Drosophila melanogaster: one gene and its partners. The protein of the gene in region 3 interacts with the protein of the main gene of each other region in a pairwise test. Each region holds a gene or a part of one and is shown on either strand. Other genes may lie near its edges.

What was found.
Region 1: the proteins of nub (region 3) and IP3K2 interact in a two-hybrid assay, tested with the Drosophila melanogaster proteins (one large-scale study listed by BioGRID).
Region 2: the proteins of nub (region 3) and NimB2 interact in a two-hybrid assay, tested with the Drosophila melanogaster proteins (one large-scale study listed by BioGRID).

The regions. Positions count from the first base shown.
Region 1 is NC_004354.4:13,303,543-13,308,550, reverse strand, and holds the start of IP3K2 (inositol 1,4,5-triphosphate kinase 2), read right to left. Parts: upstream 3,037-5,008; 5' UTR 2,672-3,036; coding exon 1,604-2,671; exon of another isoform or gene 547-1,603; intron 1-546.
Region 2 is NT_033779.5:13,964,476-13,968,675, reverse strand, and holds NimB2 (nimrod B2), read left to right. Parts: upstream 1-1,657; 5' UTR 1,658-1,751; coding exon 1,752-2,170; intron 2,171-2,664; coding exon 2,665-3,201; intron 3,202-3,279; coding exon 3,280-3,589; 3' UTR 3,590-3,623; downstream 3,624-4,200. Other genes in the region: NimB4 (nimrod B4), read left to right, coding at 1-333; NimB3 (nimrod B3), read left to right, coding at 765-925, 982-1,189; NimB1 (nimrod B1), read right to left, coding at 3,624-3,882, 3,938-4,141.
Region 3 is NT_033779.5:12,586,099-12,590,678, reverse strand, and holds the start of nub (nubbin), read right to left. Parts: upstream 3,055-4,580; 5' UTR 2,627-3,054; intron 1-2,626. UniProt on the Drosophila melanogaster protein: DNA-binding regulatory protein implicated in early development. Involved in neuronal cell fate decision. Repressed directly or indirectly by the BX-C homeotic proteins.

The DNA.
Region 1 (5,008 bases), on a different chromosome or scaffold from region 3:
ATCACTCATCCCACCGCAAAGAAAAAAAAATAATAATAAAAAAAAAAATAAAAGAAAAAAACAACAACCCGTAAGACAGAGCTTTATACAATTGTGTTAGACTGGCGGATGGGATCATCATAGATATAACCACACTATACAGTAGATAGTATATCGTATTAAGCATATATAAGCCGCATGCCCGTGGCTTAAAAAAAAGTAGAAGAACAACAGGCCATTTCTGGGATGCCTCCAATTATTGCTTTTGTCGGCGGTGAGGGTATATATATACATATATACCATATATTGCTATATGAATGCCAGGCAGATAAACCCGCTTGATAAGCGCGTAACATTATTAACCAAACACACATTGGCACACATACATATACGATCAGACAACATACATATCCATATCTCTTGCATATACACATATGTACATGTATGTATGTATGAGATATCCAGGTGAATTGCTTTATTATCGTTATCATGACTCCGAAAATTCGGTTTCTAATACTTTTATTTGCTTTACAAACTTTTCGCCGTCTGCTGACAACAGCAACAGCAACAAAAGGAATAATAAACCACAAAAAAAAAAAGATGCCATTATATAAACGTAAATATGTGCTGGCTTATATATGTACATAATATTTATCTATAATACAGTATACAGTTAACTAAGATAAGCTCTTTTCCTCGCTATCGCTGCCGTTGTTTTGTTTTGCAGTTCTAGATACGAAAAAAAAAACGAATTAAACCAACGGATCCGAGGTTTTCGTATTTTCGTAGATATATACTTGTTTTTTTTTTTTATCAAGGAACCCCCTATTTTTCAACATCACCACCATCATATCGTTCTCATTCACTCAAAAAAAAAAAAAAAAAAAAAAAAAAAACGATAATTATTATAGCGAACGAAAAGCGAAGAATACAAAAAGACTTCTCCGAGTAACAGAACCTCATTTTAGTGATAAGATAAAATTCTAATTAATTAATAGCCTTTTAAGCAAACGCATACACTGAAAGAAAAGACCTGCATATGCAAGGTGGAAAAACCATTAGCTGATAAGGCGCGGGATTACCGTTCTTGAGCCTATATATCATCTCATCATCTTTAAAACAAGATGAAACTTAGTGGTAATTCGCATTATCAAGTCAGTAGTTCAAGGGATTTTCTTTGTTTTTTTTTTTCTTTTTATATTTAATAGATATGCGTATTGTAAAAGTCTTATTATTATAGTCTTTTTCTATAGTTATAATGGTCTTGCAGTTGATAAACTAAACGGTATAATACTGCTCTAGAGCAAAATAGATTGTTTTTTTTTTTTTTTAATTATGCCACATTTCATCTACGCGTAGCACCCGTTTCTCCCTGTGTATATGCACCAACTTGCTTATCTCTTTCGCTGCCATTCAGACCTGCCCTCATTCACTGCTCTTTTATGCTTTCGATAACAACAACACAAACAATCATTAATGATATTTAAAAACGAAAAAAAAAAAATAGTGTTTAATATTAAATTTACTAGGCTGCTCCACTTTGTTACTTGTCCGTTTTGCCAACCCGAATTCTTTAGTCTAGTTTGAGATTTCCCTGGTTTGTGACGTCATCGCGGGCGCCTACCTTCTTGGATCGATCCCGCTGACGATCACCAAGCTGCGTGGCGGCCATTAGTTCGCTGATCTGCCGCTCCCTCTCACGTTCGCGATCCCCCCGCTCGTAATCCTCCTGAAGCATCTCCTCCGCATCGCGATCATCCTCATCGCGATCCTGCTCATCGCGATCCTCGTCGTCATCCTCCTCCTCCTCCTCCTCGTCGCTGAGACTGCTGCTCTGGGTGCTGCTCTTCCTGGCGAGCGCAACTCGAACTCCATTCACGATGCACTCGCCACCATCGAGGGCAGAAATGGTGGATCCACAATAGTAGAGATTGCTGCAACTGCTTGCTGCACTGACATCCGATTGGCCATCGTCCTTGCCACATCCCGGCGACATTCCCGCCGCTCCCGATCCACCGTGTCCATGTGCGCCATGTCCACCGCTATGACTGTGATGTCCCGCCTCCAGGGAACAACGCCGCTGACCACGCGCCCGCTGCAGACGAAAGTATTCCATTTCCTCCATGCTAATGCCGCAGGCGGTTATGTCATCCGAATAGTCGCTAACCACGACGGATGGTGTGCGCACATAGCGCACGCCCAGCGGCAGTCCACTGACGCCCAGTTCGCTGTACGAGCTCTGGGTGGATTCACGTCGCGATCCCGGTGCGGCTACCACTCGCTCCTCGAGCAGCACCTTGGTGGGCACACCCACGCTCGGATTGCCACCGCCGGTGGGCGATGTCAGTGGCGAATCTGGCAGGGCTGTGGGTTCGGCCAGTGGCAGTAGGGCCGGTCGCAGGGGTAAATCCGTTACGGTCAGTGTCATCCGACGTTGTGGCGGCAACGGCACATCCATGCCGCCATCGTCCACGTCCAGACCCAGGGCGGAATCACTACTGGCACAGCGTGTGACCTTCATTTTGCGCTGCCTCGGCGATAGGCTGTTATCCTCGTTGTCGCTGCTATAGGGACTCAGTCCGCCGCCGGTGACATTACAGCCCTCATCCGAATTGGATGCAGTGGCTCCGGGCAGTGTCTTGGGCTCGCCCTCGTTGCTCAGCTGCTGCTGCTGCTGCTGCTGGACAATCATGGCCTGGAACTGATCGATTAGCTGTTGCACCGGCTTGCCTCGTTCCGTCTTGCAGCTGGGATAAGCACTGCGGTAGTTGGTGGTGCGAGTGATTCTAGTGGTGCTGCTTGTCTCGCTATCGCGGGCTAATCCACCCACTTGATTGCCGAAAAATTGCGCTTTCAACTGCGCCTTGCGTAGGGCCAACTCGGAGATGGATGCCACCTCACATGGATAACCAATGTCACTTCGCTGATTGGATGTGGCCGCAATTGGGTTTGCTCTAGCTCTGACTGTAGCTGCTACTTTGGTTCTGGCTCTGGCTCGGGCACTAGCTCCAATCTGCTCCGCTGTCCGCTGATAACTGAACGCCGTTGCCTCTGCCGTCGTCCATTTATTTTCAATTTTAACCGTTCTCCGCGTTGTCGTCGTTGTTGTTTTTCCAATTGTTGTTGCTTTTGCTGTCGTTTTCGTTTTCGCCCTCGCTGCCGACGCTTTCGACGTCGACGTCGACGTCGTTATCTTTGGCATGACATCGAATTGGAAAGCGGGGGCGTCAGACGTTCGCGAAACCGTTCCCGTACCGCCGTCGCACGCACTCATCTCACATGGATGGATTGGCTGGATCGCGGGTAGAGGTGGGGTGGGTAAAGGTATGTATACACCAGGTTAGCAAAGAGTTGGGACTAATGAAGTAAGTGTGAGATTCGTTAGAACAGCAAAAATGAAATAGGAATATGCAAGAAAGTGTAATGGGATTGGTGATAAGAAAGATGTTGTAAGCAGAAGAAGTTGAAAAAAGTGCAGAAAATGGAAAATGGAAATTCGTACTATTTTCTGTATACTAATTTACTAAGGCTTATATAAAGAATTCAATGGTAAGAGATGGTAAAAAAATAGCTAGAATGGTAAATGTTAGAAGCGAGTGAAAAGTGAAAGGCTGGCGGATAGAACGATAGTAGAAAGCATAAAAACAGTGAAGATTTCCGTTAAGAATGAGTGTGTGAAGATAGTTAAAAGGGAGGATGGGAATAATAAGAAAAAGGATAGTAGAAAGAGAAACTAGTGAAGAGTAGTGGATGATGGTTGGGTAGTGATTGGGAGTGACTGATAAGGAAAGACTCAAAAGTGAAATGGTGCTTATGGTGTTGGAAAACGATCTGTGTGTTCCGTCGAAACGCGCTACTAACGCTGGCGTCGAGGCAAAATCGAGTGGAACTATAGGTGAAAATGCCACTGGAATTCCCGGCAAACATTCTACGTCCGCACTTTCCGAATGGCACCTGTGCGCTGCCGTCGCCGAACTGAAATCGCTTTCTGCGGCTCTGCAGCTCTGCCCGTTTTTTCCAGCGGGCCGGCGGGAGGGGCGAAAAGAATCGAGAAGAGCAGCGTGGGGGGCGGGGGGAGGGGAGTCTCGTGGGGCGAGAATGGGCGAGGGGAGGAGGCTCGAAGAATTGTATAGAAGAATCGTTGAGCCGCGGAGTGGAGTGGCGCATCAACGGAGAGCAGCTGTTGTGGGGGCGGGCGGCCGTTCTGCCGTTCTTATTTACTTGTATTGTTGATAGTTTTCTTCGACAAATTTGCTGTGCCTTACTTAATTTTCGGTTGCTTTTGCCACTGTTCGGTTCTCTCGCAATTGAGATGGATTTTTTGGTGCTACTGCAACTGCCACTGCGTCGGGGTAATTGTAATTGTGATCTTGAAACGTTGACGCAATGTGCAATGATCCCGCACGTACGCACGCACACAACGGTAGCTGCTCCAATTGCCGCGCGTAATTGTAAATTGCATTTGAGCACAGAGCACTGAGCGGGCACAGATACGTCGCACACACACACACACGCGCGAACACACAGAGAGGCGCACGCACACCAGCACACACAGTGACAGACTGACAGGCGATGCGAGCCCAATGCAATAAAGCACTCTGCGAGCACCACTACAAGCGCACAGTCACGCACAATGGGACGAATCGGTGATTTATCGCCAAAAAAAAAAAATGAATTAAAAAAAACCCAGCTGACTAAGAACTTTTCCCGGAAAGCAACTAAAGCACTAACTAGTTTTTCAAGATCAGATTTATGAAGCTTACCGAAACAAAAGGTATAATTAAATTTTGCAGTACAAGCACTTATTAAAAACTAAATTGTATGGTTTAAAACTGGCAGCAGTCTTTAGTAAACAATTACAAGCTGTAAAATTCCCGTTGAAATATGAACAAAATTAAATAGCTCTGCCCATGTTCGTATCGTGTTCATGTTTCTGCTTATAAATAAGTTCCCATCTTGCTTTTTATAGTTAACTATCAGACCAAATGACGCAAATAACATTTTATCGCTTTACACCAACTTTTTGCAA
Region 2 (4,200 bases), 1.4 Mb from region 3:
GTCCGGAATCGGGAGCGATGCGAGGCGGTCTGCGTGGGTGGATGTGGTTTTTACGGCAAATGCATCGCACCGAATGTGTGCGGATGCGCCATAGTCCCGGGTCCGGAACGCACCTACCAGCGTTGCGAGTACGGATTGTGCAACGCCATGGGAAGATGCCGCTGCCAGGTGGGCATGACGCGATTCATCGATCGCTGCATGTCGCCGGACACGGTCACCACATACGCCTCTATGAATCCCGTCAAGGTGAACGCATCGCTCATCCAGGAATTCAATCTTCTGCTGGGCAGGCACTTCAACTTGACCACACTCAGCGATATGTGGTGGTTGTGAGTTCGGAGCTCTCACTTTTCCAGCATCACTGAGCAGTCTCTAATAAATATTCATGCATTTCCCAAGACGTTGTGTTCTTATCAGGGGTGTCTGAAATATCTTGTGGCTTCATCTCTTGGGATTTCGCTTTTTTGAAGCAAGTCTAGCTTAAATTGTAAACGTACGTCGAAGATTTGGTACCCTCTCGAAAGTTGTTTCATTTGAATAGGTATTTATTATTTGGTATATCACTTATTTTCTGCATAGTCAACATACCCCACGAATACCGGGTACTGAACACATAATTATCTTCCTAGGAATATAGAACATTTCTATCTCCGTACACTTAAATGCCGCGCTTGACACAGACGACAATTTAGTAGCTCCGAGACACTGGCGAGCATTGCGCTCGCATTTTGATACGACCTCGCCTTCAGCTGAATCCGAGCGAAATGCACTTGACATCCACGCTGATTGGACTCCTTATCTGCGGTCTGGGGATCGAGCTGCCCACGCGCACTGCCGCACAATTCTGGTCGGTGGATCCTGTTACGCAGTGGCGAAAAGAGGCTCTGGCCGAGAGGGGATCCGGCATCTGTTACAGGACGCTCACGTAGGTAAACCATTCCGCACGCCTGACCGAATTTCAAGATCAATTCCCACTCCCAGCGTGGAAACCATCAATCCCAACTCCAGAAATCGTCAGTTCTCCTACTGCTGCGATGGTTATGTGAATAAGGGAACAAGCCAGAACCTGAAGTGCGAGCCCATTTGCTCGGAGGACTGCTCCAATGGATTGTGCCTGGCGCCCGAGGAGTGCGAGTGTGCTCCGGGTTACTATCGGAGTAACAAAAGGTGTCGTTTTGTCTTGGAATAACAAAAATAAATAATATCAATTACAATATTTTTTGAGTTGCTTACTTTATCATTATTTGATCAATACTTCTACTATTTGAAATATTATTAACCTGTTTTTTACGACCATTCATGATTACATAGAAACGTTAAATTTTTTTTTTGAAAAAACCTTCATAAGTTTTAAAGGTTCATCATTTTTATGTTCTGTGCCTTTAAATCTGATATTTCATCAAGAAATAATCTCTATACCTGAAGTCATCGTTGTACGCAAACTTTTCTTGGAATTACCCAAAAGCAATGAGTTTTGTTTACGACTCACAATTTATGGCAATGATCGATTTGCTTTGCCCGAAGCTACTGAGAGCAAACCTTCGCTCCGTTTGCCACATTGATGGGTACATTGGCGAGGTGCTGATTAGAAGGGGGACAAGAGGTTGCCGGAGGCGAATGGCGGCTCAGAGATCCGGAGCTTCGCATCGGGAGCCGATTAGTCGATGTGCAACTACAGTCGCCAGCGGACGTGGACGTGGGCGCATAATCAATTTCCATACGTACGAAATCCGTAATCAAGTGACATCACCATGAGGTCATCATCGTGCCAGCTGGTGACTCTGGGCGTTCTGCTGGCCATCTGTTCCCTGGGTCAGGGACAATTCAAGACGGCTGGCATCAAGACACGGCAGCCGCCATCGGGAAACCTGCAGCTTGCCGGCAATAGCAGTGAGTCGGGATGGAGGAGCTACAACCAGAGCAGCTACGGTTGGAGCACTCAAAACCAGAGCAACTACGCCTGGAACCAGCAGAACCATGTGGAACAGGGATCCGCTGGATTTGTGCGCGCCGAGGTCTTTCAACCGGTCACATTGCCGCCCCTTTATGGACACTACGTGCAGCCGGTGACTCCGCCCGCTCATCGTGTCCAGGTCCTGGATGAAACGGCCCTGTTCATCAACAAAACCAGATCTGCCATGGCCAGTGGTGTGTGCTACAAGGAAGTTCCGTAAGTGATGGGTTAATTTCGGACAAAAAATACTAACAATCGAGAGGAAAACACTTTTATAATTCCACTTAAAGCTATCGCCCAATTCGGAAGGCATTCGAAAACAAGGCAAGCCATAAAAATAGTGAACTAACGACCTCAACTTCCTCCGCTGGCCTGATAATTAAAATGCGCCTTGATTTCACGAGTATATGTGTGCCAAGCTAATAATGTGAATGAATTTAATATGCAACGAGCGGAAAGTCAGTAGATAAGCGAAAAGTTTTTAAATTTAGTTGAATTGACTAGTTTCATTTGCATTCTCTTGGACAATATGTAGTTTAAAACTTTAAAGGACAAAATTATTTTTCAATTTTGACACACATCTTTACTAAGGTATTATTTAGACATGTTGATTATCTGTTTTATTAGTTTCCCTAGGAAAAATATATGTCATTGCATTCATGATTTTAAGTTGTTTAAGTAAACCTAATGTTTTCCTTGTTTATATCCAGAACCGCGTCACTGCTCCGCAATTCGCGGGATCAGTTCGTTGGCAATGGCACCACTCCGGACATGAGTCGCATCCAAGTCTGCTGCGATGGCTATGAGCGAAATCCGCACATCTACCGCCGCTGTGAGCCGATCTGCGCGGATGACTGCCGGAATGGAATATGCACTGCTCCGAATACCTGTGTCTGCATACCCGGCCACGTTCGCACCGCCGAGGGCAAGTGCATCTCCACCTGTCCCCTGGGCTGCGGCAACGGAGTGTGCGACGAGCGGAATGAGTGCAAGTGCCGCGAGGGATACTCGCTTGAGCCGGAGACTCGTAAGTACTGCCAGCCGGAATGCAAGCCCGGCTGCTCCTTTGGACGCTGTGTGGCGCCCAACAAGTGCGCCTGCCTCGACGGATACCGCCTGGCCGCCGATGGATCCTGCGAACCAGTGTGCGACAGTTGCGAGAATGGCAAGTGCACGGCTCCAGGACACTGCAACTGCAACGCAGGCTACCTAAAGCTCCAAGGACGCTGCGAACCCATTTGCTCCATGTAAGTGTGGCCTTTAAAAAACAATGAAATCTGCTTGCGATGTATAGTTTAGATAATTTAATTATTTCCCTATTTCAGACCCTGCAAGAACGGACGCTGCATTGGACCGGACATCTGTGAGTGCGCTTCCGGTTTCGAGTGGGACCGGAAGTCGGCCGAGTGTCTGCCGAAGTGTGACCTTCCGTGCTTGAACGGCGTCTGTGTGGGCAACAACCAGTGCGACTGCAAGACCGGATATGTGAGGGACGAGCACCAGCGGAACATCTGCCAGCCACACTGCCCGCAGGGATGCCAGAACGGTTACTGCAGTGCCCCAAACTTCTGCATCTGCAGGCCGGGATTCATCAAGAGCGGCATCAAGGGACGCCAGACCTGCCAGGCCGTCTAACTTAGACTTTCGCACTTTATTGTTTCGTCTTGGATCAGAAATTAAATAGACGCCCTATCAGGGCATTAAACTCATAAGCAAGTTGGCGATTGAAGTGCTTTCTCTTTTCGCTAGTGTTGAGATGCTGACTGAGGCGGTCCGCCTTCAAACAGCGATCGATGAAGTGGGTTTCCCCCGATGGGCAACTGCAGTGCTCGATATCGTCACAGCTTCCGTTCCGGCAATGCTGTTGACCCTCACCACAGCCGCAGATTTCGGGAGCCACACAACGCCCGTATTTGCCGCAGAATCTGCTGAATAAGCGGAACTTCATGAAGGTGAACACAGCTTTTGCTCCGGGTAACAGACCTCTCACACTTTGGCCGACACTCGGCACCGTGGACCTCGTATCCTCGGAAGCAGCGGCACACTCCGGGCGCAATGCACACCCCATTTCCTTGGCCACAGTTGTCGCTGCACTCCGGCAAACAGCTGGTGGTGTTCACGTCGTAGCGATATCCTTCGCGGCAGTGACACTTGTACCGCGACTCACAGAGCCCATTCTCGCAGTTCCTGGAAGCGATAAGCAAATGGCTTAAATTGGCGGACAAATTTAAGATACTTTAGATAAA
Region 3 (4,580 bases):
AATCATAAAATATAAAATATAAGTTAGCTGTTTTAGTTTCTACATATGTGCAATAAATTTCGTATTTATAATGATAATAATAATGGAATAAATGTCATGACTTTTTTAGAGTTAATAAACATATACTTAAGAAGACACTTGCTAATGTGCCAAATATCAGGTACGCAGCCCTTAACTTAACGCCACTTGAGGCAAGTTGTATCGCACCGGACCTTACCTAACGCAAACCATCGAAACAAAAAAGTGAAAAACCGGTGCAAACCGATTTCCAAGATTGCGAAATGTGAAACGTGTTAAGCGAAACAAGCCCCCCAATGAACTTTGCGCGGACTAAACATCAGCCCATATTTCAAGATTCTATTGTTTACCCCCGGTGAAAGAATTACGAGTTCCAAGAATTGAATTTAATAAACTTTAATCACGAGCCTTCAACTTATTTGTTAATTTTGCAAATTATATTTTATTGTATCGCGCCAATCGAATTTCCGCACGAAGAAGATAGTAGTGGGGGAAAGGACCCTTTTAACGAATTTGGCTTATCAACCGCAAAGAAATCAATAATTCTTATCAACCATCCGCTGATTCTTTTGGTCGCCAAGTCTCAAGTGATTCATATTTAAATGATATACGGAAATGATTAGCTTGATAAGAATCTAATTCACTGATATATGACCTCATTTTACAAATTATTTAAAGCGGGTGACTATAAATCTATTTTCGGAATGGGAGTAATATGCTCCTAACGTAATGAAAAACTCAAATCCTAATCACCTTTAAAAGTAAGTAACTTTAAAGAGTAAAAAAAAAGACATTTTCAGAGCACCTGTCACCTTTGAGGATCCTGCTATCAAATCGATACCCATTCAATTGATTAGTTTTTTTGGGGCTTGGCCGAAATTTCATTGTTGAACATGAACAATTTCATTGTTGATATGCAAAGTGCTGGGGTATGAAGTGTGTGGCATGGCACTGGTTCTTGGCTCTTGACTCTATCTCAACTCTCCTCACCTCACCACCCAACCAACCTGCGAACGGAGTTGTCTTATCAGGCCAGAGCAAACAAATTGAACTCATTTCTCTTTTTAAACAACAGCTTCGACGCAATTGTCGACACGGGTCTACGCATAGATATAGATACTCCAATAAGAACCAACTCGTCTTGGTCTTCTTGGCCCGGTCGGGCTTAATCAGTTCAGTTCGGCTGGAGGAGCACCGAATATGGTAAATGGGAAAACGCAGTCGAGATAATGCTACGCCAAGAACGAGAAGGAGAAGAAAGAAGCAGGTTAAGTTTTTCCATTCCATTTTTATCTAATTAGGCTAAGCAGGCAACGCGACAAACGCTGGACAAATATTTATTATTGTACTGTAAAAATAATCAATCACTCGATCGTTACAGCAAATGGTAATGGTATCTGTACGGCTGTATCTATATACGCCACCCAGATAACGGCATTTGAATAAGAAAAAAATAAAGAACGAGTGTCCAACCAAAAGGAAATGCAGTTCCAACTTGTCCAGAGGCACTTGAACTCAAAACTGCGGCACACCACAAGTGTTATGCTAATAAAACATATCGTGCCGATCGCCTTATCAATAAGGCAACATAATATACGCTTGTGTATTGATATAGATATACACATTAAACAAATCGAACGGTGGGTTGGTACGATATTTAAAGTGTAAATCGATCGATTTTTCTCGCACTTTGTTTGCCGTATTTATTTATTTCAATTTCAATATTATTTCTCGCCTCACCGTTCACCCCCGGCGACATTGCGAAAGATACTGGAGTTACAGGTATCCCACTTCAACTTTTGTAGAGTAAACTTTGATGCAGGTTCTGTTTACCTCCGGTCTGAAACTCAAGGCGCCTTACTTAAAAATGGTTTATACAATATCCCCCCTCTTATATGGTATACATTTCCTTTACTTTCAGTAATTTTCAGTAAATTAAGTGGTGAAAAGCCCGTTTTATAGATTGTCAAACACTATTTACTGCTGCGGGGTGGGGTAAAACCCTTTAAAAACGCTAGGCAACATAAATTCAAAAATGTTTCATTTATTAAAGCTTGTTAGAGATTGCAGATTAGGATTGTGAAATTCTACACGGCTTTGATTAATTGAATGAATCATGATTAGGGTCCAGGTGGCCTGGGGAACTCTTATCAACAAAAATTTCGGATGTCACTTGTTGTAAAATTGTTCAATCTTTTAGTCAAAAAAGGTAAGTCATTTTCGTAATTAGAAAATCAGTGAAGTTATTTATTAAATGACCCATTATTATTTTCTTTTATAAATAAAACATTTATACAATTGTATTTCTTTCCTAAATTTGTTGGTTACCAAGGTATTTAAATATTTATATACCAAAAAGATGACTGTAAGCAATTCTAAAATTTTTCAAGAAGCTTCAGACCCTTGGTCTTGGTTTTCAATCATTAAAAAATTTATTTTTGTGGTAACTACAACTTTAAATTTATTTTCTGCACATGTATATTGTTATTTTATTTTCATGTATAACAACTTGTACACAAATAATCAACCTTTCTAGATATGTGTCAATAAAATTTCTATGAATTCTTTTATATTTTTCATAGCTTAATTTAATACTCATGGGATTTACCTCAATTGTTGAGTTTTTCAGACAAACATTTCAATCTTTAAATATCAAATTCATTTCGTTCAAGTGAATAAGTTATTAGTTATCACTGTACTTTATCTGCACAATATGGGGCACTCTTTAAAAACTATAAGCGTATAGTTTTTCAATAAATTATGATGTTACTATGAGCGAAATTTGCGTCTCATTCGCAGCACGTTTCGATTCGCACAAATGCCGTCGTCAAAACGCAAAAAACTGCGGCACAAAAAGAGATCGGAAAAATCGCGACGCGAGAGCGATGAGAATGGGGATTTTTATTAGAGGGGTTCATTCGGGATCGTATTGTATCGGTCGAGTAGCGCATGGGATATCGCGGAGGACAAAATGTGTTGCCAAAGTCCGGGGAGCGCGCGCACTTGAGCTACAACCACTGAACGCTGAACTCAACTGAGGCGAGCTCGCCAAAAGTATCTTAAAGATGCGCAACAGATCGGCAACTTTAACGGCAGCGGGCTGCAACAAGTTTTTTTTTGCCAAATCCATATAAACAAAAGGCAAATAAACAAACGGCAGTGCACTGAAACAATTGCAATGTGAAGTGTCTCTGTGTTCGGGTTTTGCTGTAAGTGTGCGTGACTTTAGTTGCTCGTATCTGCTGCAGGTACTTGCACACACAGATGCACACCTGCTTGCAACATTGCAATTGCAGGAGAGGGATAAAAGAGAGCGCTTAAGCTCTCTCAAAACCGCAATGAGTTATGTTTAAACATTAATTCATTTTAGTGTAAAAAAAAACAATTAAGTTTAGTTTGAGAGCTAAAATTCTCTTGTCTCTGAAAAACTCTCGCTCTTGCTCTCTCTGCGCGCTCTCCACTCACCACTACTACTGCAAAAAGCAGCGATCGCTCACTTAGGTTCCACAAAAAGCTGACCCGTTGGGGAAAAAGAGACAACTAATCGCGCTCGCTAATTTTCACACACACTCTTGCAATATTCAAATCTGGTTGCTCGCTGTCCCTCTCTCACTTGCATGCTCCCTCGCTTTATTTAAATTTATGATTATCGCCCCCTTGTGTGTGTGCCTACTTAATCCAATTGGAGGTGGAGCCGTGACTCTCCGTCCAATTGGGAGATACGTTCGCATAGACTCTCATTCCGCCTGCATATATCGCCTCGTTAACTGTCACATTGACGCAGGTGGGGGCTTTATCTTTATTTTGGGGCCCGGACTTATCCAATTGGATTTTTGTTTTGCAAACTGGTTTCGCCAACGCCTCTTATTGGCAGCGTTATTTTTAGGTTTGCTTCGGCTATTATCTAAGTACAAATTGATTAGAGGAATGCGAATTTGTAGTAAAAGCTTTTAATTGCGAGGGAATTTGAATTTATTGCGATTTATTTCCCTTTGGCTTAATTCAGTACAATACTTTTGTATTGAAATAAATAAATTTATATATGTATCTTGCCATTCATTCTTGGTTTCATCCAGATAAGAAATTATATGTAATTATATAACTAGATAATTATACATTTTCTTTGTTTTACTACGTGCTTACTTACATTTTGCTAACAATACCTTAAAAAAAAAACTACACAAAATTATTATTTTACACATGATAAAAAATAGTTCTGTTTATATGGAGTGTATTTAGTTTGTCATCATCTGGATAAACTCAACAATGTAAATTAATCGTCAAAAATTCGAAAGAAATATTTCCCAGCTAAACGGTTATCCATTGAATGGCGAAGAGCATTCAGGTTGGACCTGCCCCGCGGAGTTTCCATTGAAGGGCATTGTTTTGGAGGGCGCCGCTGCTTCACAAATCGCATACGCACGATCTGCTGACACAATTCCGCCAGCAATTAAGTTGATTCACCTCCGCGGGCTGGAGATTTTACCTGTTGCTCAATTTGCCGGCATTTAAAAAAGCTGTCAACAGCGATCGGGAATCGGGTATCGGCGCGATCGACGACC